Linked DNA regions of Astyanax mexicanus. The protein of the gene in region 1 interacts with the protein of each later gene in a pairwise test. Links are inferred from orthologs where the notes say so. Each region holds a gene or a part of one and is shown in the gene's direction. Other genes may lie near its edges.

Evidence for each region.
Region 2: the proteins of cep70 (region 1) and yju2 interact in a two-hybrid assay, tested with the Homo sapiens proteins (2 studies listed by BioGRID and IntAct). The two-hybrid records come from large-scale screens. The link is inferred for Astyanax mexicanus from reciprocal best matches to the Homo sapiens genes CEP70 and YJU2.
Region 3: the proteins of cep70 (region 1) and uncharacterized protein LOC103043983 interact in binary tests that used the Homo sapiens proteins (3 or more experiments, as listed by UniProt). The two-hybrid records come from large-scale screens. The link is inferred for Astyanax mexicanus from reciprocal best matches to the Homo sapiens genes CEP70 and EMD.
Region 4: the proteins of cep70 (region 1) and akap17a interact in binary tests that used the Homo sapiens proteins (3 or more experiments, as listed by UniProt). The two-hybrid records come from large-scale screens. The link is inferred for Astyanax mexicanus from reciprocal best matches to the Homo sapiens genes CEP70 and AKAP17A.

The regions. Positions count from the first base shown.
Region 1 is NC_064430.1:21,251,735-21,260,014, forward strand, and holds the start of cep70 (centrosomal protein of 70 kDa), read left to right. Parts: upstream 1-4,974; 5' UTR 4,975-5,182; coding exon 5,183-5,263; intron 5,264-5,361; coding exon 5,362-5,461; intron 5,462-7,038; coding exon 7,039-7,162; intron 7,163-8,280.
Region 2 is NC_064411.1:46,961,474-46,969,033, reverse strand, and holds the start of yju2 (splicing factor YJU2), read left to right. Parts: upstream 1-3,978; 5' UTR 3,979-4,085; coding exon 4,086-4,109; intron 4,110-5,242; coding exon 5,243-5,343; intron 5,344-5,437; coding exon 5,438-5,582; intron 5,583-5,673; coding exon 5,674-5,808; intron 5,809-5,970; coding exon 5,971-6,152; intron 6,153-6,904; coding exon 6,905-7,061; intron 7,062-7,560.
Region 3 is NC_064419.1:7,954,625-7,962,892, forward strand, and holds the start of uncharacterized protein LOC103043983, read left to right. Parts: upstream 1-4,854; 5' UTR 4,855-4,949; exon of another isoform or gene 4,950-5,085; intron 5,086-5,509; 5' UTR 5,510-5,513; coding exon 5,514-5,595; intron 5,596-7,531; coding exon 7,532-7,627; intron 7,628-7,955; coding exon 7,956-7,990; intron 7,991-8,080; coding exon 8,081-8,112; intron 8,113-8,202; coding exon 8,203-8,253; intron 8,254-8,268. Other genes in the region: soat1 (sterol O-acyltransferase 1), read right to left, coding at 521-579, 1,159-1,279. UniProt on the Homo sapiens protein: Stabilizes and promotes the formation of a nuclear actin cortical network. Stimulates actin polymerization in vitro by binding and stabilizing the pointed end of growing filaments. Inhibits beta-catenin activity by preventing its accumulation in the nucleus.
Region 4 is NC_064418.1:639,593-648,086, forward strand, and holds the start of akap17a (A-kinase anchor protein 17A), read left to right. Parts: upstream 1-4,975; 5' UTR 4,976-5,146; intron 5,147-6,970; 5' UTR 6,971-6,981; coding exon 6,982-7,737; intron 7,738-8,494. Other genes in the region: sowahca (ankyrin repeat domain-containing protein SOWAHC), read left to right, coding at 1-50. UniProt on the Homo sapiens protein: Splice factor regulating alternative splice site selection for certain mRNA precursors. Mediates regulation of pre-mRNA splicing in a PKA-dependent manner.

The DNA.
Region 1 (8,280 bases):
GTTGCTCAGTGTTATTGGCTTGTAACCCTTTTGTTGCTTAACCTGTAGTATTAGCCATACCTGTCAAGTCTCCCGTTTTGGCCGGGAAACTACCGTATTTTACTCCTCTTTCCCGCCGTCCTCCCGTATTAGTATTTTCCCGTAAATTTCCCGTATTATACTAAATAAAAAAATATATAGGCCACAGGCGACAATGCACTGACCGCTGTGTGTCTCTTAACCAATCGTGGTGCCGGTTCAAGTAGAAAGTCCCGCCTTTCAGGAGAAACAGCCAATCAGCTAGCTGGTTTTGCGGAGCGCAGTTTAGTGTGCGGGAAGCCCCGCCCCTCCCCTCGCTGTGAGTTCAGGCAGCTAGTCGGAGCAGCTGTCGTTAAAACTAATCTGGATATACGGAGATTTTTCTAAAAGAAAGGTAACTAACCATGTAAACTGTGATGAGATTGTTTCTGATAGCTGGTTAAAAAGACTCTTCTCTGAATCAAAACACAAATTAAACCCACTGTGTGTTTAATAAAATACAGCTTGTGACTCAGTTAGCTTAACTTTAGAATTAGCTAGATAGATATTCAGGGTTTGAGAAAAATCTACATATATATATATATATATATATATAATGCCCTGCCCTGATGTGCCTGATCAGCCAATAACTATCATTTCCAAACTCTATTAGTTCAGGGCTAGTTTTAGGGTTTGTTAGAATTTGTTTAAATCTCAAGTATTGTGGTAATGTATTATAATGTAATGTAATGTATTATTTAGAAGGGGTAGAAGAGATGGTTGAGCTGGAGAGAGAGAAAATGTGGAGAGGGCTGAAATTAACTGAACTGATCAGGAGTGGACTGAACGATAGAAAGAAGTATTAATGAAAGATTATTAATTGTGTAGGCCCCTTAGGACTATTATTTACTTATGGAATATATCTGATCCATGTCCTATTTGTAAATTTGTGCACCCTTCAATTTCAATTTTAAGTCTATTAAATAAATAAAAATAAATAAAAATATATATATATATATATATTTTTTTTTCCCCCCTCGTTTGGGCTGTTGGGGCGGCGGAAAAAATCCCTTATTTTTAAGTCCAAAACTTGACAGGTATGGTATTAGCAGCTAGCTGTTAAACAAGCTACTAACTTGGAGCTAATCTCTCCTAATACAGACTTCAGCATGTATTTTATGAATATTTCATTCAATAAGAATGGGAAACACAAAAATGCGTTGTTTTCTGTTGAAGACACATGCAACATTTTAATTAGCTTACTTCATACATCAATTTTAGCCAGTATCATTAGCTCTGACTTTAAAAAGCAGTCTAAAACCACCGCCTGAACCTGATTTATAGAAAACGCATGGATTGATGTGATTCTTGGAGTGTTTATAAAAACAGTCGTGACCCAGATGGAAATACAAAAGCACGCAAAAAGTGAGTTTTGCATAATATCTACCCTTTAAAGGAAAGCAGAGGGCAGGAATATTATGTTAAATATGAACAATGCAGACTTAGACAAGGTTACGACTAAGTATAAATTGACAAAACTTCATGCAGCCTTTCTAGACTTTTCCAGAACGCTCAGACTATCAGTCCGCTGCCGTCTTCAGAGGAATACATACTAAGATATAGGATAATGGGCTTACTCGTTTATGTGTCTTTTCTGCCCTCTTGTGGACACATTTTACCAGTGCATGCAGCTCCACATTAACTTACAGTATTTACATCCTCATTTAAAGCAAGTTTGACTCTATCTATCTATCTATCTATCTATCTATCTATCTATCTATCTATCTATCTATCTATCTATCTATCTATCTATCTATCTATCTATCTATCTATTACACCAATTAACGTTACACCGACACTTTAATTAATAAAGTCCCTTAATTAGTTATGATTTTATATAACAACATTAATTAATGACGCTCCAGCTCATCCCAACTCACCTCAAATCACCATCTCAGTTGATAAGGTTTAGATCAGGTTTAGATTGTGGAGGATAAACATTATGTTTACTACGTAAGTACTAGTTTCCTTATGTGTCGCTTAATTGTTTTCATGTGATTAAAATTACAAAGTAAAAACACTGTATATTTTTTTATTCCAAAAGCATATACAAAAAGGAGAAAAAAAATAAAATAATAAAAAAGGATAATGAAATACTTAAAAAACTAAGGTATCACACAGCAAACTGCAAATCTGTACAATAATAATAAAATAAAAATAGGCGCTGGGTTGTTAAACACAAAATAGTCCTGTAATTTGTACACAGATTTAACACATTATTTTAAAGAAAAATTAATTATTTTTTAGTCAGAGCGCGCGGTGAACGGACAGGGGGCGTGGCTTCGGCTATCTTGTCCTCTATTGGTCCGTTTTCCGGAATCGAGCTCATGTGTCACTTTTGCAGTTATTTTGAAAACCCCAACAAAGCGCTCTCTGTTTGCGGGTCAGAGAAATAAAACCGACCTTAAACTAAACGATGGTCCTCCCGTAACTTTCTAAGGTAGGACTAGTCTCAGTATTCCCGCTTATGTTAATAAATTAACTTAAAATCCGTCTCATGCAGTAAAACGCTGGTGTGAGCTAAGCTAAGCTAAGATAACTAACTAACCTAGCTGACAGCAGCAGCTGTAGGTTTAGAGCTAACTGAGCTAACTGTTAGATTAGGTGAACTATAGCTCAGATAGCCTAATTAACGTTAGTGTTAATCTACTGTTTTCAGATAAACAACAGGTTTTCTAAACTCACGTAACGTTATATCTGCAGCTGAGCTACAGCTTGACTGAGCTAATAGCAGGGTTAAATTACTAAGTAACTTGTTTAATGTTTTATAAAAGTTTGCACATTGTTTTATCTATCTTACTTAATTCATCAACTTTACGATTAAATAGAAATACATTATGAATATAATATGAATAAATATAACTATAAGGTTCGGTGTAATAACTGTTCATAGTGGTGGTGACTACATTAACTAGTAGTGCAAAATCGAATATATAACCTAGGTTATTTAGTATTCTCTCTCCCATACGGTATTATCCTCCTTTCATCAAATTTGATTAATGATTCAATCATTACAAATGTACAGTTTATCAGGACTCAAACAAAACAAACATTAGGTCTTTATATACTGATATCGTTACAAAATAATCATAACAATACGATAAACAGTGTTAGATCACCTAGTTTTAAGAGTCAAATAAAAAAAATCACTTTTTATTTATAAAGCGATTGTATTACAACTGATGTCACAAAGCAGCTTAACAGAAATGTGATCACAGGACAGAGAATCAGACAACATTGGACATACAATACAGAACCCCCAGCGAGCAACGGAGGCAAGGAAAAACTCCCTCAGAGATAAAGGAGTACCTTATATCACATATACTATCACACATACTATCAAGGCTAATATATAGGGGAGGGGGACCCATTCTCCTCTGGTCAGAACTTAATCATTGGTTGTTAAATAGTCATTCTATGGTTGTTATATTCAGATAAATAGCCACACCAGCAGTGGAAGCGGTTAGAAAATTCTTAGTTAGAGTATCATACAAACTTGGATGTAATCGGTAGTGGAGAGTGAGCAACTTGTCCAATGCAGGTGGCAAAAACTGAACAATGGACAGCTGATGTGTGTTGGGTGATGGGGAAACCTGATCTACGGGGACTTCCATCAGGCCACACAGGTGACCTGAGAACCTAAGGGTCGACCTGAGGGTCAAACATCCATTAGTGTCAGTCTGGACAGGTTGGCAGTCAATAACTTGAAAGAAGGTAGGAAGTCAAAATGAATTTTGACTGGATTTATGGAGAGCAAACTATATGACAGGGAGAGAGCCAGAAGGTAACATAGACACAGAGGCACCCTGAAACACCGGCAACCACCCACTCCACCGTCCACAAACCTGAGTGACCACGTTCAGTGGGAGAACAACAGCACCAGCATCTCAGTTTACCACAATTCCCTCTGTCCATGAACCCCTGGATCTGCAGCCTTATCTAAGGGGAACATTAATTACCAAAAGCTAAACTAAACAAGTACGTTTTTGAACTAGACTTCCGAGAATGAGACTATCTGAGCCCTGAACATTTTCTGGAAGGTTATTCCAGAGTTGTTGAGGTTTATAAAAGGGTTTTTGGAAACTTCTAGGAAACCAGCTCCCTGTGATTTATGTTGTTGTGACTGTTCATAATAAGAGATGAGGGCTTGCAAATACTCAGGGCTTTAAACGTAAACAGGAGAATTTTATAGTCTATGCAGAATTTGACTGGAGGCCAGTACAGTGTTGATAGGTCTGGGCTAATTATGGTCAAATTATCTAGTTTTTGTAAGAGCAATGTTGGGCATAAAATGTATTTTTAAAATCTATTTTAGTGGATAAATGCATATATGCATTACATTATAAGGCAAATTAGTCATTAGTCATTTAATTAACATTTCATAGAACAATCAGAAGACAGGTGTAGGGTTAAGGTTTGTCAATCTTAAACTAACTTTGTCAAACATTAAAATTTAATTCTGTTAGAAATGTCTTTTTCTAGCTGTAACAGCACTTTTATTCTAATTAATTTCGTTAATTTTCCTTCTTTTAAATGTATTGTTTTAATCATGTTTTATTATTGTTCTCATTTTTATTTTATTTTTATTTCCATTTTTATTTTTTATGTCATTCTTTTGCATGTTTATGTGACTCTCTTTGAATTGTCTAATTTGTAAAGCACTTTGAATGACCGTTGAATGAAAGTGCTGTATAAATGAACTTTCTTTGCTGCTGTGTAGTTTCTTGATTTTTCTGAGAGTTTACTACTTCACTGATTCTAAGATGTATTTTTTCAGAAACTCTCCCACTCCAAAAAGGTGAGAGGATGTTATAAGGGTGGTCAAATCTTCTAACCTGTGCAACAGAAGAGATCCCCTCAGAGAGGAAGAGGACACTATGATGGAAAAGGTGAGCTGCATCTTTTCTACCCATTCACTGAGCAGCCATGTGTTGTAATCCGATCTGCACCAGCCTCCCTTTAAATGAAGGGCTGTACACCAGCCTGGTCCCCAGAGGAGCAGAGGAACTCGGCTTGGGCACCTAGCAGAAGAGAGCAGTCACCTGTATACTGTGTTCTGTATTTTCCATAAAAGCAGTCAAAAGCAGTAGTTTTTAGGTCAGTTGAGTGAAGGTGTAGAGAAGAGATGGACAGGACAGCTCTGACTGTTCGGCTTCATGCTAGAGATAAGACGTATGTCTTTCTGTGGAACTACAGTCAGTTTCAGGTAGCTACTGATGCTCTGCACAAATCTTTCCATTCTGAATCTCAGCAGTGTTGGTAAGAAACTGTGTAATGATTGAGGTGTTTGATTTTAATTTGCAGCAGGAGCAGACGGATTGGGACGCTGTTAATCGGATGCTGCAACATCATGGTTTCAAACCTGTTCGCTTTGCGGATCCAACAGAGAACAAGAACCTGGCAGGTATTCTAAGTCTAGTTTTTAAAGGAGTAGTTCACTTCAGAATCTGTCAAACAGCCATTATTGGTATAATGACATATTTGATATGTGTTGTGTGCTTCTTTAGTTAGTTATGAGAGATGCTAGGCTCACCCTGCTCTGCACATTTATTGCTTTTTCTTCTCTTAACACACCTGTTTCAACTAATCAGTTAATTGACAAGTTCTTACAGAGGTGCAGGGGTGTTTGTTAGCCTTTCATAAATATCTGACGCACATTTTTTCCTTCTCCTTGGTGTAAATTAATTCTGATCTGGCTGTTGAGGCTCACTTGCATTGCTAGAAATAGGAAATATTTCGAATTTTAGTACCACTTATGGCTGTGGACAAATAGCATATAAAAGTGACCCAAATTGATTTTTTCCCTTGTATGTGACATAAGCCCTATTTGGACAGGATTAGTTTCTCAGGTGGCTGTCTGTGAAAAATATTTCACACTTCTACTCTTCTCAGTGAGTTTTATGGTTTTCTCGGTCACATGACATTGCGTTCAGTAGCTCCTCCACTTCTACTCGTTGTTGTGTTTACGTGGATCTCCGTGGAAACATGCGCCCAAAGTGTAATTACGATGCATGGTAGTGGACGCGAGGAGATGAAACTCAGAGATGTCTGTCTGAACATGACTAAAATTATCGGAGGAACACGGAGTTCACCGAAGAAGTAGGTAATTTAACTTGTCATTTTCTCAGGACGTCTGAGAAAAACACGTATATGGTCGTTCTGAACAGAAATAAAATCACAGAGGACCCCCCTATAAAAGAGCAAATTACCCCAAGACCCCCTGAGAAATAAATCCCGCTTGGATAGAGCTAAAGATGTGTTCTTAGTTTGGCAGTATAAAAGGCAAAAAACTGACAGTTTCAGTTCCGATTTGGGTAATTTTCCATTGTGGTATTGAAATCTGATACCTGTCTAATTTGTAGCAAAGCAACTCAGTCTAAATAGACAGACAGGAATGTATGTGACTTTTACGTCATTTATGGAAAAAAATGGCAGTAAGGAGAAGGGGAAAATGGACAACAGCAGTGAGACAGGGGTTCAGTTGCTGAATAATGACCTCATAAAAGATAATAGCCCTATAGATGGGGTGAAGTCTTCTTTTAAACGTAATTCATAGATTGTGTCACAACCACTCAGTGTTTCTAATGAAACATCACAGGATTCCATAACTGCAATCTGAATGGAAGTCCAGGTTTCATCTACTGAAACTCCTTAATAGCTCCTGTAATGCGGCTAATGTGAAACTTAAACATCATATAAAGTGTTGCATCAAAAATCTGATCTACCTAAAGTGGCCCAAATCAAATATTAGACTCAGTGTGTTCTTTGGATTTCACACTGCCACATAGATCAAATATCTGTGTCACATTCAACAAAAAAGACCAGATTGAAAGATCTGCTGTGTAAACCAGGTTTAAGACACACTGATTTAGTTTTAGTTTGTTTTGGGCACAACATTACACTATGACTGTTTGTATCCGTGTTTGTATTGATAAGTTTTCTATTTAATCAGATCTAAGCTGTATTGTTTGTGCTCTTTAGACCTGGTTCTGCTGGAGAGAACATCATCAGCTGAAATGCGGAACATGCTGAAGACAATGTTGACAGATTCTGAGAGGAGGCAGGCCCTCATCCAGGAGCTCATTCAGTCCAACAGCCAGCTGAAGTAAGACATGTTCTACAGTATTATTTACCCAAACCATGTTTTTATTTTCTGAAATCAGGACTATTAGTAGTGATGCATTAATTTTTATTAATTTATTTTTTATATATAAATGAAACTGAACTAAAGTAAACAACTGGCTAAATGCTAAATACTAAACATGGCCTTACACTGGATTTAGTAAAATTACCGCTTTTTTCTACTGTTGCATTATATTTCTTATATCATGGCATTAAAACATTTATTTTATTATTTTATTCTAAAGATTAATTTATTCCAGCCGTACTGTTCTGGTCACACAAAACCTTGAGAGTGCTTTTCTTTTTTAATCTTTTTTTTATTTATCTTTTTTTTTTTAATTTATTTTATTTATATATTATATATATTTTCCACCATTTCTCTCCTATTTACACAGCCAATTACCCAACCCACTCATTAGGACCCCCCCAATCACTAGTAATGCCCCAACACACCAGGAGGATGAAGACTAGCTCATGCCTCCTCAGGGGAAACACTACAATTTGACTTAAAATAAATTATTAAATAAATTATTCTGTATAATTTAAATTATTCTGTCTTTTCATTTATTTAGTTTCTAAATATTTAGTGCCTCTTCAGCTATTAAGTGGGAATTGGTCCTCCTGTAATGCAGTAACCACCTCTTCTCTTCTGAAAGGGCTTTACGCCAGAATTTGGAACATTGCTGTGTAGAGTATTAGATTGCATTCAGCCACATGAGAGCAGCAGTATCAGTCAGGTCAGTTACTGATCAAGTCAAGTCAAGTCAAGAGGCTTTTATTGTCATTACATCTGAGTACAGGTACACAGTGTGATGAAATTACGTTCCTCCGGAACCATGGTGCAACATAGAACAACAAGCAATAGACAACATAAAATGCAGGAGTGACGACAGTGCAACGTAAAATTATAAAATTATAACACTAAATAACAATAAATACAAAAGACGAGACAATTTAAAGACAGGACAGTGCAGTACCGATACGGTATAATAAAGTGTATAGTGGGGATAAGGTGCAGAGATGTGTGACATACTGTAACATATAGAACATATATAATCACAGCAGTTACTGAGGTACAGTTTGTAGTTTTTAAGAGTGCAG
Region 2 (7,560 bases), on another chromosome or scaffold:
CTAGTTAAATTAGCTAGCTAGCATTAACCTAGCTATCTAGATAGACTTTTGACATTATGGCAGCTAGCGTGTTAGCTTAGCTAGGTTAACCAGCCTATCTAGCTAGTTAGGTTAACTATTTCTACACTGTTTTAATGTAATAAATATATTATTTGCATTTTTATGTTGAATATAATAATAAATTCTGAAAACACTTTTCCTAAAATAGTTTTGTTAACTAAGCCAATCGTAGCTTACGTAACTGTAACTTTTCCTGAGGTAACTTGGTTAGCTTAGGTAGGTCAAGTTAGCTAACTAGCTAGGTTAGCTAAGCTAGCTAGTTAGCGTAGCTAACTAAAAGTTTAAATTGAGAAAAGGCGAGGTTATTTTTACCATCTCCTAAATTAAACATTCTTAAACCTTAAACCTACTTTTGTATTGCTATATTTATTGTAACAAAAATCTTTTTACATACAAAAATTTTCTTTGCATTTGTGACAGATTTTTTTTCTCCAAATAACTAACTTAAAAGTTTAAACTGAAAAGGGTTATTTTGTCCATTTCATAAATTAAACCGTTTAAGGTTAGATGTACTTTTACATTACTTTTTATTAGCTAACAACAATTTTTGTAACAAACATATTCTCACAAAGAGAGTTTTATTTGCTTTTTTGACTGGCTCCTTTCCAAATAACTGGGTTTTAAGCGTTTATTCAGGTACATTTTGTTAGATGGGTTAGCTAGCGTTAACCTAGCTAGCTAGGTAGACGTCCGGCGGCTAGCGAGTTAGCTTAGCTAACTAGGTAAACCAATCTAGCCAGCTAGTTAGCGTTAACTGTTTCTAAGTTGTTTTATTGTATTAACTACATTTTTATGGTGAATATCATAATATTTTTAAGTACTTGTATTAGCTTACCTACATATTTACTCCAGGGAAGCCTAATTAAGCTTTTATAGCTAACTAACTGTTAGTTGACATAGGTTGGCTAAGCTAACTGGCTAAAAGTTCATATTAAGAAAAGTGGCGGTTATTTTAACCTACTTACGCCTGAACTCTGCTGATCACTGCATGGCGTCCGCGGCTCCTTCTCCCGCTCTCTGCCTCTCTTTTCTCCTTCTCTTCAGTTCGCAGAAGCAGTTTGTTCAAACTTTAACATCCAAAATAGCTCCATGGTGAACGGCGGTTGGTGTAAGAAGCTTCAGCTACAGTCAGAACTCCGAGCGAGGAGCTGCTGAAGAGCCCGTCTCTCTGCGCTCAGCCTCGGTCTCCTCACTCACAGCAACAGCAGCATCAGCAGCCGCACTTCACTCATTCTCTCAGCTCCAGGGAGTTTATAGCTATATATCCCAGATTTTTACATTCACAGCAGCCTGCGACCACCCCGGTTCCACCACCACCGCTTCCCGCAGCTCACACACATTATTTCAGTTTTTTCTCTTTCAGAAAAGGAGAGATGGGGGGAATAAACCGCGCGCGCGTCCCCTCCCGCCCGCGCGCATCTGAGCTGAGGGATGGGGAAGGGATTACGGCGCGAGAGACGCGCTCTGTTTTTAATTATTGTGATTATTCATCACTCTTAATCACAAACGAATAAATAAATATATAAATGAGTAAATAAATAAATGCCGCGTGAATGGATAATTATGTGGGTAATTACGTGGGATGGAACGTGTAGAGTAGCCTATTCTTTCATGGGTGACTTCGGTTTTTGCTGTGAATTTGTTGATTTTAACCTTCAATATCAATTCAGCAAATAGTATGTTTAGCACAAGTTTTACAACTTTCATCAAGCTGTTTTGGATCCGTTTTTTTTAGCGGGTGCCGGCATTTTAACCAGCATTTAATAAAGCAGGCTCGCTTTTCAGCTGCCGGGGTTGGCCAAGACTTCAGTTTGTGCACTTTTACGCGCCCCATGCGCTTTTTTTTACGCGTGCCCTGCGCTTTTACGCGCCCTGTGCAATTTTAACGCATGTCACACGTAAAAGCGCACGAGGGTTCTATGCGCTTTTATGCGTGTTTGTGCGCTTTTATGGATTCCGGGCGCCTTTACGCATCCCGTGCGCTTTTATGCATCTCATGCGCTTTTATGCGCCCTATGCGCTTTTACGCGTGCCATGCGCTTTTACGCATAGTGCAAAACAAGATAAAAACAAGATAAAAACACTCTCAACAACAAAAGCACTACTAAGGTAGAGATAATGGTGTAATTCATCTGTAATTTTTAATATTCTAATATTTTTTTGAAACATTGTTTTCGAATTTGTTCTGTTTTTTGTGATATTTTTTTATCCACATTATAAGCAGTAATATACGAATTTGCTCTCTTTTTTGAAGTAAAAGTAAAACAATTTCACTTAAACCCAGTTATGTAAAAAACAAACAAAATAGCTACACGAAAGTAACTACACAAGTGTATTCTGGTGTTTTTTAACAAAGAAATTCTATTCTGTTTATAGACTTTAAACCCAAAATCCAGATATCTCACTCTCTGGGAATATGATAACTAATAATTATACAACTATTAAAACAACTTAACTTTCAGTGAAAGTTAGTATGAAAAGATTTAGTTCAACGCAAGAAACAGCTTAAACTGTTAATAACTTAAATGCTGCAAAAACCTAAAAAAAAATGAATTTTTGTGGAGATACACAGCCCAGCTGGCCACCAACGGCAATAGACGTTAATTTCATGTTGAATGTTGGTCATGACGTCAGATGACAAAAAAATTACGCCAGGATAACGTCTAATACTGTTACGTGCCAGCGTGGAGAGATTGGATATGAGGAATTTGCTCACGAAGCTGGGTTGCGGATACATCAGAGTTTCAACAAACAGTTTATTACTCTCAATCGGCCTAAAACAAAACACCTTCTTTAAGGTGGTGCTCCTGCTGCTGTAGACTACGGTTCTTCAATCCTGGTCCTGGCGCCACCTGCCCTGCTAATGTATGGCTTTCTCCTCTCTCAACACACTTGATTTAATTCAACAGCTTACTAACAAGCCTTGTCAGAGTTGAAGTGGGTGTGTTAAAAAAGGATTTTCATTAAAATTTCTTATCAAACATAAAAAAACTTTTTATCTAATGCTCGAATAGAAATCCTCAGGATTTATTCATATAATATCAAGCAGAAAAGTGTCAATCGAGAAAATATTATAGAAAAATACATACTAGTAAACTAGCTCGTGACCAGCATGGTGTATGTTTTTTTTTTTCTGGATGACCAGCTAACATTAATCTGTATTTTTAAAAGAATAATATATTTCTATGACAATTTCAGATATTTAATTGTTAATATTTTAGTGCAGGCATCAATATAAAGCTCTGGAAAAAATAAGAAATCACTTAAAAATGATGAGTTTCTTTGATTTGACCAAATTGAAAACCTCTGGAATATAGTTAAGAGGAAGATGAATGATCACAAGTTATCAAACCAAGCTGAACTGCTTGGTGGCATAAAGTTATCCAAAAGCAGTGTGTAAGACTGGTGGAGGAGAACATGCCAAGATGCATGAAAACAGTGATTAAAAACCAGGGTTATATACCCTGATTTCTGAACTCTTAAAACTTCATGAACATGAACTTTCTTTGCATTATTTGAGGTCTGAAATCTCTGAATCTTTTTTGTTATTTCCATTTTCAACCATTTCAATCATTTTCTGCAAATAAATGCTCTAAATGACAATATTCTTATTTGGAATTTGGGAGAAATGTTGTTAATAATTTATAGAATAAAACAATGTTAATTTTATTCAAATATAAATAGCTAAATCAAATAAACTGATTGAGAAACTGAAGTGGTCTCTTAATATTTTTTTCAGAGCTGTATATGACATCAGCTGTCGTACCACCATGGGTTGCTCTGTGGTTTAAGAGCAGCTTGCCTAGAAATATTAGGAAAAGAAGCATTAAGATTTGATGCAATATCGCCCTCTTCTGCCTCATATTTACAGTGACATCACTGAGGATGGCTGCAGTTTTCCCGGGTGTCTATATGGGGCAGTAGAGAGCCAGTCTGACTGTTTCTCCGTTTCTCTGTGGAAGAGAGTGAGACTGAAAGGAGTTGTGTGTTTTTCGGGCTGTGTTTTTTATTGATCTGCTGCAGTCATGTCGGAAAGAAAGGTCTTAAATGTAAGTACATTAAATACTCTTCTATTTCTACTTGTGATTAAATGAAGCAAATGAATAAGGAAGCGATAGGGTTAGTCAGAATGCTAATATGCTAACCTGTTAGCTACATGAGGCTAACTGACTAAGTTAACCTAGCGCAGGTCTGAAGATAGCTACAGACACTAGCTTAGCTAACCCAGGTAAACAGATAACCCAGGTAAACAAACACAGATAAATACATAAACTCGAGTATCTGCTGTTAAACGAAACTATTTACACAACATAATTTCAGAACGTGATAAATTGAGGCTAAACCCCTGTAAGACGTTTTCATTAACTTACCTGGCTAGCCTAACAACTATTTTGTGTTAGCTACATTTCTAAATTAATTTGTTTGATGTGTTTTTCCTTATATACTGTTAAATATTTAGGTCAGATTTAGAAATATACTTTAGAATTAAGTTATTAAAAGGTTCACGAACTTTCAAGCACAACTACAGCTACTTACTTCCAATACATTTTAAAGTACAATGTTACAGTAATAGTCCCTCGAATAGTTCACTCGAATAAAATATTATTTTGCTAAGGTTGCACAATATTTCATATATATAAAAAGAATATCCATGTTTTCAGTAGAAGTGACCAGAATTAACACGTTTAAGAAAATGGTAACCTGTTTTTTTAGTAATTATGTCATGTAAAAAAATAAAAGCACCACAGATTTCCGTTTGTATCAAACACCAAAAAAAGTCGTAACATTACATGTTTGATATAATTTGACATCCTACCTGATACCTGCACAACTTGAGCAGATTTCTGAGCAGAATTGAGCGATATTTCTGTTTGGATCAATTTGTTTGACTTGGTTTTCCTTATATACTAATATGACTTGTGTCAGATTCATGCAGAAATATGACAAAAAAAAAAAATAAAGGGTTCAGAAACTTTTAAGCACCACTATAACTACTTTTGTCTGTGCACATGCACAACTTGAGCACATGCTCATACTGCTGCATAAAGATAAGATACTCTTTTCATAAATGTATAGCAATAATTTTAGAAAATCTAGCATGTTTCTACATGTTCTTGGACATACGTTTTGTGTTGTTGTGATGACTAATTTGTTTACACACTGCATGGTATTGCTTTTGTAGAAATACTACCCCCCAGATTTCGATCCATCTAAAATCCCCAAGCTCAAACTGCCCAAAGACCGGCAGTATGTGGTCCGATTGATGGCTCCATTCAACATGAGGTAAGAGACTTAGAAAATTCATTACTTACATGACTGGTTAAATTGTGTTGTTTGTTCGTTGTTTGTTTAAATGTTTCCTATCTCTTTGCTTCAGGTGTAAGACGTGTGGAGAGTACATTTACAAAGGGAAGAAGTTCAATGCAAGAAAAGAGACAGTACAGAATGAGCTGTATATGGGGCTGCCCATCTTTCGCTTCTATATTAAATGCACAAGATGTTTGGCAGAAATCACATTTAAGGTAAGCAAGTGAAGTAATAAAAAAATACATGGAAATTACATTTCCATCTTCACTGCAGTCTTAACTTTCTGTTTTTCACATTTCCAAATAGACAGACCCAGAGAACACAGACTACGCTATGGAGCACGGTGCCACAAGAAACTTTCAGGCTGAGAAGCTGATTGAGGAGGAAGAAAAGAAAATCCAAAGGGAACGAGAAGAGGAGGAGCTAAATAACCCCATGAAGGTAATATTGAACAACTTATTTTTTATTTGCAGCATAATAAATACTTATACTAAAGACCACCATTATTTGTTGCCTTTATTATACTTTCTACTTAACCATTAACTTTTCTCAGATACGCCAGAATTCTGTTTAGTTATCCACATGCTCTGGTGTTTCCATCAGGTTCTAGAGAACCGTACACGGGATTCAAAAATGGAGATGGAAGTCCTGGAGAACCTACAGGAGCTGAAGGAGCTGAACCAGCGGCAGGCTCAGGTGGACTTTGAGTCCATGCTGGAAGAGTACAAGGAGCTGGAGAAGAGACAGAAGGAGAAGGAGCAGGAGGAGGATGAGAGAGAGACCAAGTATGTGCTTTATACTACTTGTGCTTTATACTATACTACCCAAGTATGTGGTAAGTATAAAGAAATCTTCAGCCTTTATTTGAATCTTTCCTGGAAAAGGCTCGAAGTTGCTAATGATGAAAGTTGTTCATGCCAGAATGTCATTCCCTGGTTTGAACGTGGACGTTAAACTGTAAAACAGCCTATAGTGAATATGCGTTTACAATGAACTTATACAGAGTGTTTTAGTCCATTTTTTTCATTTTGAAACAATACACAGTACGGTCCAGTCAGAGCAGATGTCATTTGTATGTGTTAGGTTAGTAAGCAGTTGAAGATGCAAAAACAAGCTTAACTTTTAATGGCAATCAGTGTGTACAAGTTTTGTTCTCTCAGATTATGGAAAATGAAGAAACTGGTGGGATGATGCTATTTTTATAGACTATATGAATGAAAGAACTGTTTGTTCTGTTCAGGGAATGTCTTCTAGTTTTATGAGCATTGCTGTGAGTATTTGATACCCCTCTATCCTACACCTGGCATTGGGCAAGGTGGCATGGTGGCAACAGGTTCATGTTTATTTGCTCCAGAATGTAATATTCCAATAATAATACTTGTATGTTAAAGGTTAGACAAGCTGGCTGTATGCATACATTTTAAGAACTGTCCATGTATTTCTTAAAAGACACTTTTAAAAGACACTTGGTCTCAAAAATGTTCACATGTCTATTTTCTTTTTCCCCCCTCCGCTTTTTTTATTTCCCTCTCTGCAGAGAAATGCTGGATAGAGCTTTAGTGAAGAGGTTGAGGGACTCTGACTCGGACTCGGACTCAGATCAGGAGGAAAAGAATAGAAAAGAGCAGCAGAATAAAAACGCTGCTCTGAAACCCACAGATATCCTGACTACAAAGGAAGGAGCAGACATAAAGGTACTTTAAGGAACAAACATATCCTTGCTGCTGCCTTGTGAGGAGATGGACAGTGATATTTGAATCTTACTGCTGGTTTTTACAATCTATGAAAAACTCTGCATAAAGAATTACATTGCTTAGGAATGTTCATTTTCTGGAATTGGAATTAAGTTTTACAGAACAAATTTGTTTGTCCATGAGATTAATTTGTCTTAATGAGATATGTAATTTTAGATTCTAGTCAACTCTAGGTTCTGAAATTTTTGTTTGTCCATTTTAGCTTCTTTTTCCCCAGATTTCACACATATAAATCTTCTATTATCTTCCATTTTTGGTTCAGTTTTGCCCATTTTTTTTTTATAATATTGCCCACACTGGTCTTAGTTATCTTCCAAAATGTAAAGTATAGCTAGAGTAAAGGACATGTTAGCATTGTTGCTTTAACCCCTTGAACCCTTGGTTTATTGATCAGTTAGTCATCATAAGTAGAAATTATCTCAAGGCCAATCAGGGCCTC
Region 3 (8,268 bases), on another chromosome or scaffold:
AATGCCAATAAAAGCCTCTAGGCTTGACTTGACTATGTAAAATAAAAATCAGGACAGAACCGTCACTCTCAACCTTCGACCCAAATGTTCTGAACAGCCTGAGTCAGATGTCAGCGGTAGTGATGAGCACACAGGGTGGATCTTTCTAAATAACTTGAGTAATCATGGAATTTACAACTAACTTCCCCATCCAGTCTGAACTTTCAGCTGATTTAACCCCGGCCTGACTGATCTGAATTATTCTACACTATAACTCATCCTGCAGAGTGACATGTGACTCAGACATGTGACTCTGCAACAGACGTTTCCTCTGAAGTGAGACAATCACATCATGCAATTTTGTCCTTTATAGACGGGAAAACTGTGTTAATCATGATTTCAGCAACAAGTCCTGCAGATTTACAGGACACAAATCCTCTCTTGCACAACATAACACTCTGATCTAAATCAGGTAACAGTGATGTAATTCATGTAACACTCTGGCACAAATCATGCAATCAAACAGAATAAACTCGGTCACCTGAACTTTTCTCCTCAGCAGGAGCCTCTTTTGAAGAATATGGTCCAGCTCCACATTTCCTAAAACAAACAGAAAGAACAAATCAATCAATGAATCAGTATTTATTCAGCAGGATGAACAGTGTTCCTGATTTCTGCTCTTATGTAACCACAAACACATGCTGTGTTGTTGCTAGGTTACCACACGATTAATATATGGCCAATATATGAGTCAACAAGTCAGTACAATACCAGTCAAATATTTGCACTGGTTACAGTAGCAGCACTGGCAGATGGTTGGTGGACGACACCTACAGCACAGGGCACTCTGACCTGCCCAGATACATTTCCCACACAGGTCACAACATTTCTAACAGAGGTCCAGACTGCGTTCCTCAACAATACACACTGTTTAAAACTGTGCTGCTGTTGTTCTGCAGTAAGTGACTTAAACTGGAATTCATCCAAAACACAGAGAACTGCAGAAAACAGATATATTCATACTCTGCTAGTACTCCACTGCTGTGTGCTGATTCAGAACAACACAACATCTGCAGAACATCTAGAAAATCGGATAAAAGTCTGATATAGTAGGGTGTAGTGTAGTGTATAGTATAGTGTAGTGTATTGTATGGTGGTGTGTAGTTTGGTGTAGTTTACCTTTACCGTTGGTGTTGTGCAGGTCCCTCTGGTTCACTGTGCTGTCCGATTCTTTTGATCTTGTTAATTTGTGGAAGCCTCTTTTTGTCGCTCGACCTTCGATCTCATCTTCATCTTCCATCTTCCTGCTGCTGGAAGACAGGAAGGATTTTGTGTCTTTCAACCTGATCTACTGCCTTGTGGTTCAATTATTATTGCACTTACAGTTGGCTAGGGCAGCTTTAGCTGGGCAAATATTTCACAGAATTCTTTTTTCTGTTACAATGCTACATTTAGTCAATTTAGTCAATGTAGTCAATGTATGTATATATAAAAAAAAAGGTATCTTTGTCTTTCTATTTGAGCATTTATATTATATTTTACCTCTATTTATTGAAGACAACTTAATTATTTCTATATACTTTTGTGAAAAAGTTTCAGTCATCATTAGGGCTGCAACTAACAATTATTTTGGTACTTGACTAATCTGACAATTATTTTACCGATTAGTTGATTAGTCACCAATTTCTCCTGCCATGTTCTCCGTCGCTAAAAACAATAGAAACAGCTAAGCATAAGATTTAAAAGCCATTTAAATGTCCAGATGTTGTTTAAACATGAAATTTTAAATATTAGTCGACAATGAAATTTGTAGCTTACAAATTTTAAATAATCGATACTGCCGATTATATCGACTAACCGTTGCAGCCCCAGTCATCATGACACATTATATGGAAAATTATGGACATTAGAATAAATATAAAAGTAGTGAAATTTGCTGTTGAAAAATACACTTAATTATTTATTTATTTTTACATTGTCAGATAAAAAAAAAATATAATCTATAAATGCAAATCGTTTTTATTAAAAAAGAAATGCTAGCTAAAGCCAGAGGTGAATTTAGACATTTAGTAGATAGATTTAAATATATATAAATATGAATATGTATATCTTAAGTTATTTTGAAATGTATTTTTTTCTACAGCAAACAAGTTACAAGTTCAAAACAAATTGTAAATAAATTCCAGTTTATAAATTATACAAAATAATAATAATGACAAAATAAACTAAATTGTATATATTTTTTCAAATTTAAAATCTGATCCATACATTTTAAAACTTAAAAAAAATGAAATACAAATTCTGGCCAGGAGTCAAACATCAGTTCGTGAAATAATTTTTTTTAAATCTGAAAATCAGTCATTATTTCAAAGTGTATATGTTTTCAATAGCAAACTTACTTTACAAGGTTAAACATTTTAAACACACAAAAAAAAAGCATTGTTAAAATTTGAATGTGTGCATTATGCCATTACATATTTCAAGTTTATCCAGAATCGGGTTTATTTAATTCAAATATACAGAATGCTTTTTTAAATACTTTTAATAGCTTTTAAGGTCTGCTTTATACTTTGTTGCCACCTTGGGGGATCTATACTTTTAATGTTATGGATGATTCTTTTAATGTTATGGATGATTCTTTTAATGTTATGTGCGTCTCTAATATAAAATACTGAAACACTGAAACTTCATTGTGATTCTATTCATTCTGTTCTGTCTCGAGCCACACTCTTTAACATCAATAAAAACATCAAAGCATGATCTCACACACCTGTCTGTGGAGGATCAAAGTGGTATAAAAATGTCGTCACAAATTAGGTCCTAGATCTACTTAATTTCACTGAGGATTAGTAAAAAAAAATCTGAGCAGGTTCTGCAGACAGAAGCGCAGTCTGGAGATGTTGTGGGTTCTGAGCGGGCTCTGGAACCCTGATCTGAAGCTGCACGAAGTGCTCGCGCTGGGTCTTCTCCCGGCCTTTGATCTTATAAACAAAAAGAACATGATGTAACTCACCTGTCAGATCGTCCCACACCTACTCAAGGTTCTGGATCTCTCTGAGAATCTGTTTAGGCTGGAGAACCGAGCAGATCAGCTGCTGAACCTCCTCATGATAAGGAAGACGTTCTGCACAGTGGGCGGGGCTACAGCTGAGTGACGCTCCCACTGTCCGCTCCGATTGGCTACGATAAGGTTGTATGACAGGATTTGTGCCAATCACTGGAATTGTTTTGAACAGAGACTCTAGATTTGACATATGGACGTCATGAAACATACACTATATTCCATATGTCCAAATGTATTTGGGACACCTGACCATTTATTTATTCATTATTTCTTCTCAAGTCAAAAAAAAGAAAAATACAATTCTGTTTTTGTTGGAGTAACTGCCTCCACTGTCCAAAGTGAGAAGATGTTTACAAACTTTTGGAGAAGAGCATTGCTGTGAGGATTAAACTGCATTCAACCACAGGAACTGAGAGATAGTGATGACAGTAAAGATATTTTTAATGATCACCACCCCCAAATCATTCCCAACTCTTCAACTTAACCCCACCTCATCCCCAACTTCCCATCTCATCCCCAATTCCTCCAACTCTTCCCCATCTCATCTCCAACTCATTGCCAAATCTCCAACTCATCCCCAATTCTCCAACTCATCGCCAAATCTCGAATTCTTCCCCAACTCTCCAACTCATCGCCAAATCTCCAACTCTTCCCCAACTATCCAATTTATCCACAACTCCACCCCAACTTCCCATCTCATCTGCAATTCCCCAACTCATCCCCAACTCTCCAACTCATCGCCAAATCTCCAACTCATCCCCAACTCCACCCCAACTTCCCATCTCATCTGCAATTCCCCAACTTATCTCCAACTCATCTCCATATCTCCACCTCATCCCCAACTACCCATCTTATCTCCAACTCATCCTCACCTTCCCATCTCATCCCCAACTCCCCATCTCATCTTCATCTCCCCACAGCTCACCCTAACTCTCAACCCCAACTATCCAACTCATTCCCAACTCTCCAACTCATACCTAGCTCCCCAACTCATCCCCAACCCCCTAATGTGAGACTTCCCACTTGAGAATCTCTTCCAGGTTTGTTTGACCATTAGAGGGTGCACTAGAGTGAGTCCGAAATAAACGGTTTATATGGAGAAATTGAGTTTATAAATATTCATTTCATTTTCATACTGAACAAGTTCTTATTTTCTCAACACAGACCAATGTCACATGTTTCAGTACCAAAATACATAATTTTCTGAAGAAAAACATATAAAATATATAGGTAAGTTTTCTTTCTTTTATTTATTTTAGCAAAAATACATTATACTTTCTAAAATTTAAGGAATATCCTGGCCAAGTCGATAGTACTGAAGTAATATTATACTTCAGTAACTATTATATAGTTTCACATTTTATATAGATAATATCATTTAGATATATTACACACAGAGCAATATATTCAGGATGATTTTAATGATTTTATTAATGCAATGTTTTTCTCGAAAATCTTACAGCACTTCATGCTTTCCTCTGCTAACAACTTTTGTGGAGAAGCGGCTTTCATTTTTTTCAGCAGGATTTGGAACACTGCCCACACTGACAAAAAGTACCAATTTGTATTATATTATATTCTAATTTTCTGAGACACTGATTTTTTGGGTTTTCTTTGGCTGTAAGCCATAATCATCAACAATAAAATAAATAAATGCTTAAAAGATTAGCCTACTCTGTGTGTAATACATCTATATAATATATGCGATTAACTGAAATAAAGTAACTTTTCAATTACATTCATTTTTTTAAGAATAAAGCTGAGAAAGAAATAATAAAGGAATAAAACTCTGAATTAAAGCATTAGCTTTAGCATTAGCGCTGTTAACCACAGTAACTGCATCACTTCCGCCTGGAAGCGGAAGAGCGTTTGTTTATGTACTGCAGCAGCTGCAGGAGTTCAGAGCGTGAGTTTAATCACAGTTGAGAGAATGTTCAGATAATTACAGAGAGAAATACATTTATTACCTTCAACTGCAGAACCGCGGCCTGTAGAACTCTAACCCGAACCGAACCGCGGGCTGTAGAACTGTAGCTGTGTGAGTGAGTGTTGTTTACGGGTTTAGTATAGTCAGTGTTGAGGATCGGTGGTAATATTAATGTGAATAATAGAGACTCTGTGGGTGAGAGGAGACTCTACAGGGTTTATTTGTGGAAATTCAGAGTCTGTGAAGGTCTGCGTTTGTAGAATAGGAGATTTGGATTAATTTTTCGGACAGAGATTAATAACAGTCCTGAACTATTTATTAATTTCAGTAGAGAGTCTCCACCCAGAACAGAGTGAAACCAACCTTTAGTCTAAAGTGAACTGAAAGTGAATTTAAGCACAGTGAGGAAGAGGAACTGCTCATACAGCTGCTTTCATTTCTATTATCTCTTTTTATATAAAAGTTTTGTTTATTACTGTCACTGACTAAACCAATAACTGATTAAACCAATCCCTGATTAAATATCTTATCAATAACAGAGTGATGGCGATGCTGAGCAGTAAAAGTGATCAGGAGATCGGCTGGATGTTGGACGATTACGGGATAAAACATGGTCCTGTAGTCGGTAAGCTTTTATTATTAATAATATTTATTTATTTGTTATTATTAATGAATAAAACATTATTATAGTGATCTAGTTTAGTATCCCTCTCACACCATTGTGTATAAATTAACGAAAAGTGTACAGAGTATATTATTATGTGATTGCAAACAGTATGAATTTTGTGGTTGTGTGGTGTGTATTATGGAAAAAAAATACAGTGTGAATTTAGGGGTGGTGTGTGGTGTGTTATGGGGTAGCAAACAGTATGAGTTAAGGGGTAGCATACAGTATAAATTTAGGGGTAGTGTGCAGTATGTTTTATAAGGTAGCATACAGTATGAATTTAGGGGCAGTGTGCAGTATATATTAAGGGGTAGCATACAGTATGAATTTGGGGTAGCGTGCAGTAGTATGTATTAAGGGGTAGCATACCGTATGAATTTAGTGGTGGTGTGCAGTATGTATTAGGGGGTAGCATACAGTATGAATTTAGGGGTAGTGTGCAGTATATATTAAGGGGTAGCATACAGTATGAATTTGGGGTAGCGTGCAGTAGTATGTATTAAGGGGTAGCATACCGTATGAATTTAGTGGTGGTGTGCAGTATGTATTAGGGGGTAGCATACAGTATGAATTTAGGGGTAGTGTGCAGTATATATTAAGGGGTAGCATACAGTATGAATTTGGGGTAGCGTGCAGTAGTATGTATTAAGGGGTAGCATACCGTATGAATTTAGTGGTGGTGTGCAGTATGTATTAGGGGGTAGCATACAGTATGAATTTAGGGGTAGTGTTCAGTATGTTTTAAGGGGAAGCATACAGTATGAATTTAGGGGTAGTGTTCAGTATGTTTTAACGGGAAGCATACAGTATGAATTTAGGAGTAGTGTTCAGTATGTTTTAACGGGAAGCATACAGTATGAATTTAGGGGTAGTGTTCAGTATGTTTTAACGGGAAGCATACAGTATGAATTTAGGAGTAGTGTTCAGTATGTTTTAAGGGGAAGCATACAGAATGAATTTAGGAGTAGTGTGCAGTATGTATTAAGAGGTAGCATACAATATGAATTCAGTGGTAGTGTGCAGTATGTTTTAAGGGGTAGCATACAATATAAATTTAGGGGTAGTGTGCAGTATGTTTTATAAGGTAGCATACAGTATGAATTTAGGGGTAGTGTGCAGTATATATTAAGGGGTAGCATACAGTATGAATTTAGGGTAGTGTGCAGTATGTTTTAAGGGGTAGCATACAGTATGAATTTAGGAGTAGTGTGCAGTATGTATTAAGAGGTAGCATACAATATGAATTCAGTGGTAGTGTGCAGTATATATTAAGGGGTAGCATACAGTATGAAATTAGGGGTAGTGTGCAGTATGTTTTAAGGGATAGCATACAGTATGAATTTAGGGGTAGTGTGCAGTATGTTTTATAAGGTAGCATACAGTATGAATTTAGGGGTAGTGTTCAGTATGTTTTAAGAGGAAGCATACAGTATTAATTTAGGAGTAGCGTGCAGTATGTATTATAGCATACAATATGAATTTAGTGGTAGTGTGCAGTATGTTTTAAGGGGTAGCATACAGTATGAATTTAGGGGTAGTGTGCAGTATGTTTTAAGGGGTAGCATACAATATGAATTTAGTGGTAGTGTGCAGTATGTATTAAGGGGTAGCATACAGTATACATTTAGTGGTAGTATGCAGTATGTTTTAAGGGGTAGCATACAGTATAAATTTGGGGGTAGTGTTCAGTATGTATTAAGAGGCAGCATACAGTATGAATTTAAAGGTAGTGTGCGATGTGTTATTGTGTAGTGTACAGTATGAATTAAAGGGTAAATTGTAGGGTGTACAATGGAGTAGCCTGCTGGGTGTATTAATGGCGTAACGTACAGTATGAATCAGTGCTGGATAAAAGGAAAAGATTATAACAGTTTTTAATGTGACGGTCTGTCAGAAACGACCAGGACTCTGTATGAGAAGAAGCTGAGAGAAGCCATGGCTAAAGAGAGAAAAGTCAAACGTCCATCAGAACGAACCTTTTACAGAGAAGGTAAAAAATATAATTTTATAAAATTACAGTTGTATAGTGTGTTTAATATCTTTTAATCCAGGCTTACCATTTAGCGCCAAGTTCTTTTAAAGCACCACAGACAACTGACTTTCTGTGTGTATGTGTGTGTTGTACACACTCTGGACTGATCAGATGGATCTTTAAGTGTTTATTGATCTACAGATGTATAATGACTGGTTTATAGAGGGTGAATTTGCTGTGATTTGTGTGTTTTAAATCCTGATCCACTGGATCAGATCAGGAGAACCCTAGTAAAAATGCTCTGAATCAGTTTTACACCTTTAATAACTGTCTGTCTCTCTTTCAGAGGAGAAAGACCCCTACGTTCATTATCGCCGACCGGTAAGTCAAACCTCTCACCTTTAATTCTACCAGTTCTCTTTTATCTAAGAGGTGATGAGGATGATCTCACTGTTTTCTGTGTTGGTACAGTTGAGGCAGGAGGGGTACGGAGGTGATTGGAGGTAATTACGTTTTAAGTTTCTGCTCCAGCTCCTGCTTTAATGCTCTTTGATGTAATGTCACTGAGCTGATACATTATTTCTGTTAATCAGGACAAACCCAGGTCTGAAGTCTGAATATGAGGAACTGGACACTGTTGATGAGTAAGTGTCCTGTTT
Region 4 (8,494 bases), on another chromosome or scaffold:
CCCTGAAGAGTCCGGTCAAGTCCAGACCCGTATCTAACCTCTTTGGATAATAGAGGAACGTCTCTGAACGAGGACCTTTCCTGAAACTGTCCCAATTTTACCTCTTAGGTGCTGTCGGACAGTGTAGCATTGTTTCACCCCCTGAAGCATTCACGCGGCACTAAGCTCCCCGTTTCGCTAATGGGCTTAAACACTCAGATATGCCTGGATATCCAAGCACTTAGGCTCTTTAACAAGAACGAATTAAAAAACAAATTAGTAAAGCTTTAATCTATGTTGTGAAAATGTGACCAATAGGGATTAGCACTACTGGACCAATGCATTTGACACTTTGCTATATTTTAAGGTAGAATTTTAAATACACAGTTTAAATACATGGTTAAGATGTAGATGAAGTACAGGTATTTTATTTCAGAGTGGGTTTAGTGTTAAAATTCTCTGACAATTGGGAAAAAATAATGAGAATGGTGGTGAATGGATTTAAATTATTCTCAACATTCCATATTAAAAATGTCTATATTTCTGTTGTAGGTATAGAAGAAGGATGCTTGCATTTATTCACCACAAGTAAAGAAATCTGAGTCAGTATATTTCTCTACAATCAATCACAATCACCAAATCCTGCTCTTTTTATCTCTTTTTAACATGAATTAAGAATGTAGGTGAATCAGTGGAATTTCCCTTTAACCTGGGATGCTAGCTAGTGAATTTCTGAAGCACATTCATGCTATAAAGTTGTGAAATATAAAATATGCACGCTGCCTGCTGTAAACCTGGTGTAGTTTTTGCACGGTTCTGTTTTGGGTGTTCTGATGGTGAACAGTGTGCCTTTACTGCTCCTCCGTCTTCCGGTCCTTAACTGGATTAATGTTGCTGTTCTGATGCTTAAAAACACTTTACAATAAGGATACATCAATTAACAGCACTTCCTAAAGTAATATATATATATATATATATATATATATATATATATATATATATATATATATATATATATATTAATATCACATTATATTATGCTTTTTTTAGCAAAAAAAAATAATCACATTAATGTGAATAGCCAAAATGTTTACTTCACAAACTGTGCTTTCATTTTATTTATGATTGTTTTTTTTTATATATTTTAAAATATATATTTCATGTCAGTCTGAATGTCTAAATTTTCTTTTAAAAAAGTTAATTACTGTTACAATTCATGTAATTGTAATTTTATGCTATGCAATTATTGTTATATCAGTGGCATAAAATTGTCCTTTATTGCAATTATTTATGGGACAATATATAGACACAAATATATATTTTGTGTGACAGGCCTAATTAAATGTTTAAAATTAATATCTCAACAAATTCTTAATTGAAACTACTTAAGGCATTATTAAAAATTACTTGACATTACAAAAATGTTAATACTTAAGAAAAATGTATGTAAATTATATTTAAATGTTAGTTAATCATTAGTTGAGATGTTCTGTTATAAGGACTGTAATTAATGTAACATTTATTGTAAAGTGTAAAATGGTACTGGTGGCTTTAGATGTGCGTTTATGCATAAATGTGAAACACAATCATGACTGTTACACACCTGCTTTTAATATGTTAATATGTTTAATATGTTGTACATGCTTATTTGTAATGCACTTTTTATATATTTTTATAATCTGAATCTTGTTGATTATTTGGAACATTACTTTTGTGAATGTGATCAGAATTTAATCCTCCTGTAAAAGAGAAACTGGATCAGACTCAGACTTCACCTCCTCAGTGTTTGTGCTGCTTATTCTGTACTACAATAAATGAGATTACTGCACATATAATCATTTAATCTTCTTATTTTCAGATTTCTGTAAAAAACATATAGAATAATGTGACTGTAATATTACAATGATTTGTAAAGAGTACATTTTTTTGCCAGAAATTTATGCAAACAAAATAAAATCCGCTATCATTTTTTTTTTTAAGAATTAAAAGGAAAAAGTATATGATGCAAATTCAAAAGAGAATTAAATTTGCTGTGGATTTTTTGCGGATAAAGACTTTTGCTCCTGGAATTACATTTTTTTTTGCTTCTGAGTTTTGGCACAGTTTTCACGGGTGGGTGAGGATTCAACTGATATCATTACTTAAAACAAGTATTATACTATACTATACTATACTATACTATACTATACTATTGTTACATATAAATGTATTTATATAAAATAGTCACAGCAAGAATCAACTTATAATAATGTATATAGGAATTATATTATAATAAATAAATTATACTGTAATATGAAATGAAATTATATGAGCAAATCTAATAATATGTGATGATTTTGTGTTAAATAAAGTGTAAATACATTACATTCTCATTTTGCTACACAATTAATTTTAACACACTAAAACATATTAAAACATACTAAAGTGCTGGCACATTAAATGTACATATACTCATTAATTTCTTATTTTTTCTATGTGATAAATTCAGTAAATAGAATAGAAATTGTTTCTACAATTTTATTTAAGAACAACTTCAGTTTCACACTTTAACAGTGTTTTTTATTCTCATCAATTTATCAGTGAATCATTATTTCATTATTGATCGTTTCTCAGAGTAGATAATAGTCAGCCATCTGGAGTGTGTTCATTATTTATTAGACTGAAGTTACCTGATCCTCCTCCACACATCTGATAACTGAGAGTCTGAGAAGATGAAACTCTAAACATCTGTTTTAATTCATAGTGTTTAGTTTTTCTTCTAAGAGGAAGACTTAACTTAACTTAAAATGTTAATTTAGATAAGATAAGATAAGATATTCCTTTATTAGTCCCACAGTGGGGAAATTCATAGTATTACAACAGCAAAGGGATAGCAAGGCACTCAGTAAAAAAAGAAAAGATAAAATAAACAGTACAATATATACAAATAAAAATATATAATATATAAAATATAATATTTTATAAATAATAATAAAAAGTCAGATCTACCAAATGTTCAGAGACCCAGTGTAATCATACAGTTCAGTGTAAAATATGGGGAGTGTGTATGACTGCATAAAGAATTATTTTAGAGAATATCAATAATAATATAAAAACTTTTCTTTTGTTTATGGTCAGGCAAGGAAAGTTTATTTATATAGCACCTTTTATACACAACGGTTATTTGAAGTGCTTTACAAACTAGAAAATACACCGAGAAGTCAAATAAAAAAATATATATAAATAAAATGGATACCAAAATTAAATAAGAATAAAACATGATTCAAACATGATTAAAACTATATTTTTAGATATTTAAAAGAAGGAATTGTTAAGGAGAAGGTGGGTGAAGCCAGTTATGATTTTTCCAATTTTAATCAACATGGCAACACCAATCCATGCCAATCCATACTCATCATGCTCATCTGTAATCAAACTGTACTAAAATAAACATGTTAAACTCTGATTTAGCTTCATTTTTGTATTTTCTGCTGAGTGTATGTGTTCTTCAGTCCTGTCCTACATCTCTATTTATCTATTTATCTGTTAACACTATTTAATTTGCTTTATGTTAACATTAGTGGGACATTGAGTGAACAGTGACCTATAAAACCAGTGAGCTCATCACTGTTACATCATTTCCAGCACAGATCCCCCAGGAAACTGTGCCAGTTTCTGCCAGCCTGCAGTTAATGCACCATTATGATGGTTATGATGGTGTTTTTTTGTGTTATTCGAGTTTAATTACAGAGAGAGAGAACACAACATGCACTTGTGCCCTCAGACAAATAAAACACATCAATGCTCATTACTACAAAAAACTAAAAAAAACAAACAAACAAAAAACAAATATATAAACAAACTGAGAGTGAACATTTTCTCCTTTTGTGTGAATTTGTTTTAGTTAGTGTGCAATAGAATAAGATACTGTTTACAGCTTAGTTATACATTATTCTGTACATTTGTAGTAATTAATTTTCTAGTGTTTTAAAAAAAGCACCAAAATAGAAATAAAAAAATGTAATATCGTATATATATATATATATAATGATTTTTATTATGATGGATAATAGCAGTAAGAAAAGGTTATGTATTATAAATGAAGGTATTGTAACACTACACCGCCTGATGGCGCTACTGCTCGGCTTTGTGAAAGAAGCTATCACGTTTAACGTTTCTGACCCCTGCCATAATAAAAGTCCTTTATGTATTGAGTTAATGGGACGTGCCCTGAATCTAGTTCGTCAGGCTGTTTTTTTTATTTTACAGCATGGTATTTTTTATTATTGTATTTTTGTATATTTATATTAATGTAGTACATTTTGTATTCAATGTTTATTTAATTTATTTTCAGCACTGTTTATTGTTATTATATTAACATTAAGTATGATGAAAGTGTAAATGTAATGGAAGCCCATTTCCGTCACCTAAAAAAAATACAGCACATTCTTTTTTTATTATTAAGGAAATTCATCTCATTATTTTTGAGATAGTAAGTCAAAATAAGTACTTACTATCTAAGAATATGGCTTGGAATCTTAAAATAATGAGATAGTATCTTAAATTAAGGACTTACTATATCAAAATAAGGAATAACTATAGCAAAATAATGACTTAATATCTTAATCTAAGGACTTATTATTTTAAAATAATGAGAAAGCAGTTTAATAAACAATAAGAAAATAATTTAATAGTAATAGTGCTGTGTGTAAGTGTGTAAAGGCTGCAGTAGAGAGTGCAGTAACACCATCTGTACCAGCACTGCTTTACTACAGAATAAGGGTTTGTAAATTTACATTGTTTAAAATAAATTTTCAAAGCTCAGTTTATTTACAGTACTACTTACCAGATGTAATATATTATTATTATCATTTTCTTTTTTACAAATATTTACAATATACAATTTTTAATGGCAAAATATTTTTTTTTCTTTTCAACTTCAGTCTTTGGTATAAACAAATGTCAGACGGTATAGATAATTAATATAGATATTTAATTGTTATAGAGCTTTTATTTTGAAATGTGTGTGAGCAGAGCGCCGGGCGGTAGTCGGTTGCTGCTGGATTCACTGTGCGGCTCTGTGTGAGGGACGCTTTCAGGCCTGAAGATGTAAAAATACAGAAAATAAAACAGAGAGACAGACAGACAGAGAGAGAGAGACAGAGAGACAGACAGCGCGGTGTCTCCGGTAGGTTATTGGTTAATAATGTTTCTGATGGTTTAGTAATTGCATCAGTAAAGGATAATCAGCAGCTGGATTCAGTAAATAGTGATTCTCTGTTTACTCTATCAGAGAAGATTCAGGATCTGTGATTAAGGTTTGTGTGTTTATCTGATAAAATATTTCACATTTAAGCTCAGAAATCTCATTAAAAACGTGTTTTTTAGTAAAACAGCGCTAAGGTTCATTTACTATCTAACCTGTAGCTACATAAGCTAAGCTATCTGTTAGCTACATGAGTAAGAGGTTAATAACAACCGGGCTGCTGTTTCTCCTCCTCTGTTACCGGTTTTGACCCCAAATTCCTCTCAGAACTCCGGTAAAATAGTGCTTCAGATATCTCCCAGTTTATTTATCACCATTTACTGTGATTATTTTCTGTGTTAAAGCTTTTAGAAGCTTTCAACTAGGTAACCTAAATCTAAAGGGTTCAGATTTATGTTTCCATTCATAGTTCTATCAGTGAATGAATTGGAGAACTATGAAGTGAATTTTGTGCCAAAAGTGTTTGCAAAAAGTATATTAAGTATATAAGCAAGTATATATATTTTTAAATGTACTTGGTTTACTTTATTATTATTATTGGCAGTTATTTTGATAAGAATATTAGTTTGGATTTTTCCGTTTTTCCTTTTTTTCCTCTGTGTTTTTGTGGAATTTTGTGGATTTTTCTGTCAAAGACTTTTGCTTGTGGAATCTCTTGTTTGATTCTGCTTCATTTTTTTGCTTCTGAGTTTTGGCTCAGTTTTTACTGGTTTTACAAAAATTAAGCAGAGACGGGCAAAATTCAAATGTCTGGAAAGAATAATAAAGTATCCAAGTATTTTTTATAAATGTATATAATAATAATAATAATAATAATAATAATAAGCTTTATTTATATAGCACCTTTCATACATTAAAATGCAGCTCAAAGTGCTGTACATAGAAAAAGGCAATCAAAACACTATTAAAAAAGGAAAAATGGAGAGAAAAAAACTGTAAAATTAAAGATAAAAAGGAACATTCAAATAAGATGTAATAGAAAACAATATAATATAAAATAAAACTTATAAACCTTAAAATGACAATAATACTAATAATACAAAAAAATGTATATGTATATGTATAAATAAATAATGTATATGTAAATGTATATATATTTTTCTCTTTTGATTTTGCCCCATACACTTTTTTCTTTTGATTCTTAAGATTTTGATTGCGGATTTTATTTTTTTGCGTAAAACGTTTGGCACAAAATTCACTCCATAGAGAACCTTTACATCCCTGTGCTCCAGTAAGGGGCCACAAAATGATTTCATCAGTCACAAAAAAAAATTAAATGTGCAATCAAAATGTTGAGAGATTTTGTGGATCATAGTGACAGCAACTTCCATAAGACACTTTAAAAGCTGCAGCAATCCACAAAACAAAATATGTTACCAGAAGAAAGAAATACAGAAAACAGGAATACAAGGAATATGTAGCTCTGAGAAGAGACTCGATAAGTAATGTAGGCGTTAACTTTTGGAGATATTAACTCCAGATTCAGTTCATCAACCAATGAATGCATGTTTGGTATCCTAAAGAAAGGGTTTGTTAGCAGTGTTAGCCTAGCATCTCCTGCTGTAAACCAACAAAGATTCGTATTAGCTAAGTATTCCTTTAAACCCTCCAAAATGTGTAAATATATTAATATATATGTATTACAAATAAAACATTAACAAAAAGAAGATACTTTCAACTTCTTTTTCTGTCTTTAGTCATTTTCACCATTCACCTCATTCATACTCCCTCTGCTTCACCTTCCAGCTGCTTCCAAAATGACCACCATCATCCATGACACCACGGAAGCTGTGCATCTGTGTCAGGAGTACCACCTCTACCTGAAGCCCATCGCCAAGATGACCATCAGCGTGGCCCTGCCTCAGCTCAAGATGCCTGGCAAGTCCATCTCCAACTGGGAGGTGATGGAGAGGCTGAAGAACATGGTTCACCCGGAGCTCTTCTCCTCGCTGAGAATCTCCAAAAGCACCATGGACTTCATCCGCTTCGAGGGCGAGGTGGAGAATCGGGGAATCGTTAAGAGTTTCGTGGCGAAGCTGGACGGAAAGAGCATCAAGCTGAGCGGCTTCACCGACATCCTGAAGGTCCGAGCGGCGGAGAACAAGGTGGACTTCCCCACCCGCCACGACTGGGACTCCTTCTTCAGAGACGCCAAAGACATGAACGAGACCGTCCCCGGGGAGCGTCCGGACACCATCCATCTGGAGGGACTCCCGTGCAAGTGGTTCGCCCTGAAGGACAGTTCTTCAGACCGGCCTTCAGAAGCTGTTCTTAAAATCGTGTTTGAGAACTTCGGTAAAATCCGTAACGTAGATATCCCCATGCTGGATCCCTACAGAGAGGAAATGACCGGAAAGAACTTCAACACCTTCTCGTTTGGCGGCCATCTGAACTTCGAAGGGTACATCCAGTACGAGGACCACACCGGCTTCGTCAAAGCCATGGACACTCTGAGAGGGATGAAGCTGATGTATAAAGGAGACGATGGGAAAGCTGTGGCCTGCAACATTAAGGTCAGTTACCTGCAGCTAGGGCTGTGACGATAATTTTATTACCGCAATACCGCGGTTATGGGACGTCACCGCGGTGATGAGCTCATTACCGTCATTACCGCATTTTTTATGGCTGTCAAATCTGATTGACTGCGTTTTGAGCGGTAGTAAAATGCTCCATATAAGCACAACTGTGGTGAATTCAGTATTAATATGTCAAGTGTAAGTCCTACACTATAGGGCTGTGCAATATATCAAATATATTTTGATCGCGATAGATATTGGTGTCAAACGATCTCAAAATTCATAATATCGAATATAAATTTTTTTGTCATTTATCTGTGCTGCCGCTGCACTGGCGCGGCAGCGAATGGGTTAAGCAAAACGCGGTGCGTGGTACTCATTGAGGTCAGAACAGCTCTGGAGTCTCCTGCTCACTTCGTCTCCATTGAGGCTGCTGAAGAGAGTGAAGATTAGCAGCACTAATATTGGCTCGGAAATGGAAGCTACAGGGCAGGCTCAGTAAGTTGAGAAAAAAGGAAGAAAAAGACTCAGAACAGAATAGAATCATCTGCAAGATTTGCCGGAAAGTGGTGTCTGCACCTCTCGCCAACACATCAAACTAATTCACCCACCTCAAGGTAAACCATAGAGCCATGTAAGGTGTTCCGTGGTCACATTTTGAGAAAGTAAAATATATTAATTCATTGTCTGGCTGCTGGCTGTTCTGCGTGAGCACCGCGGAGAACGCGCGGCATTGCGCCTCAGTCTTGGTAAA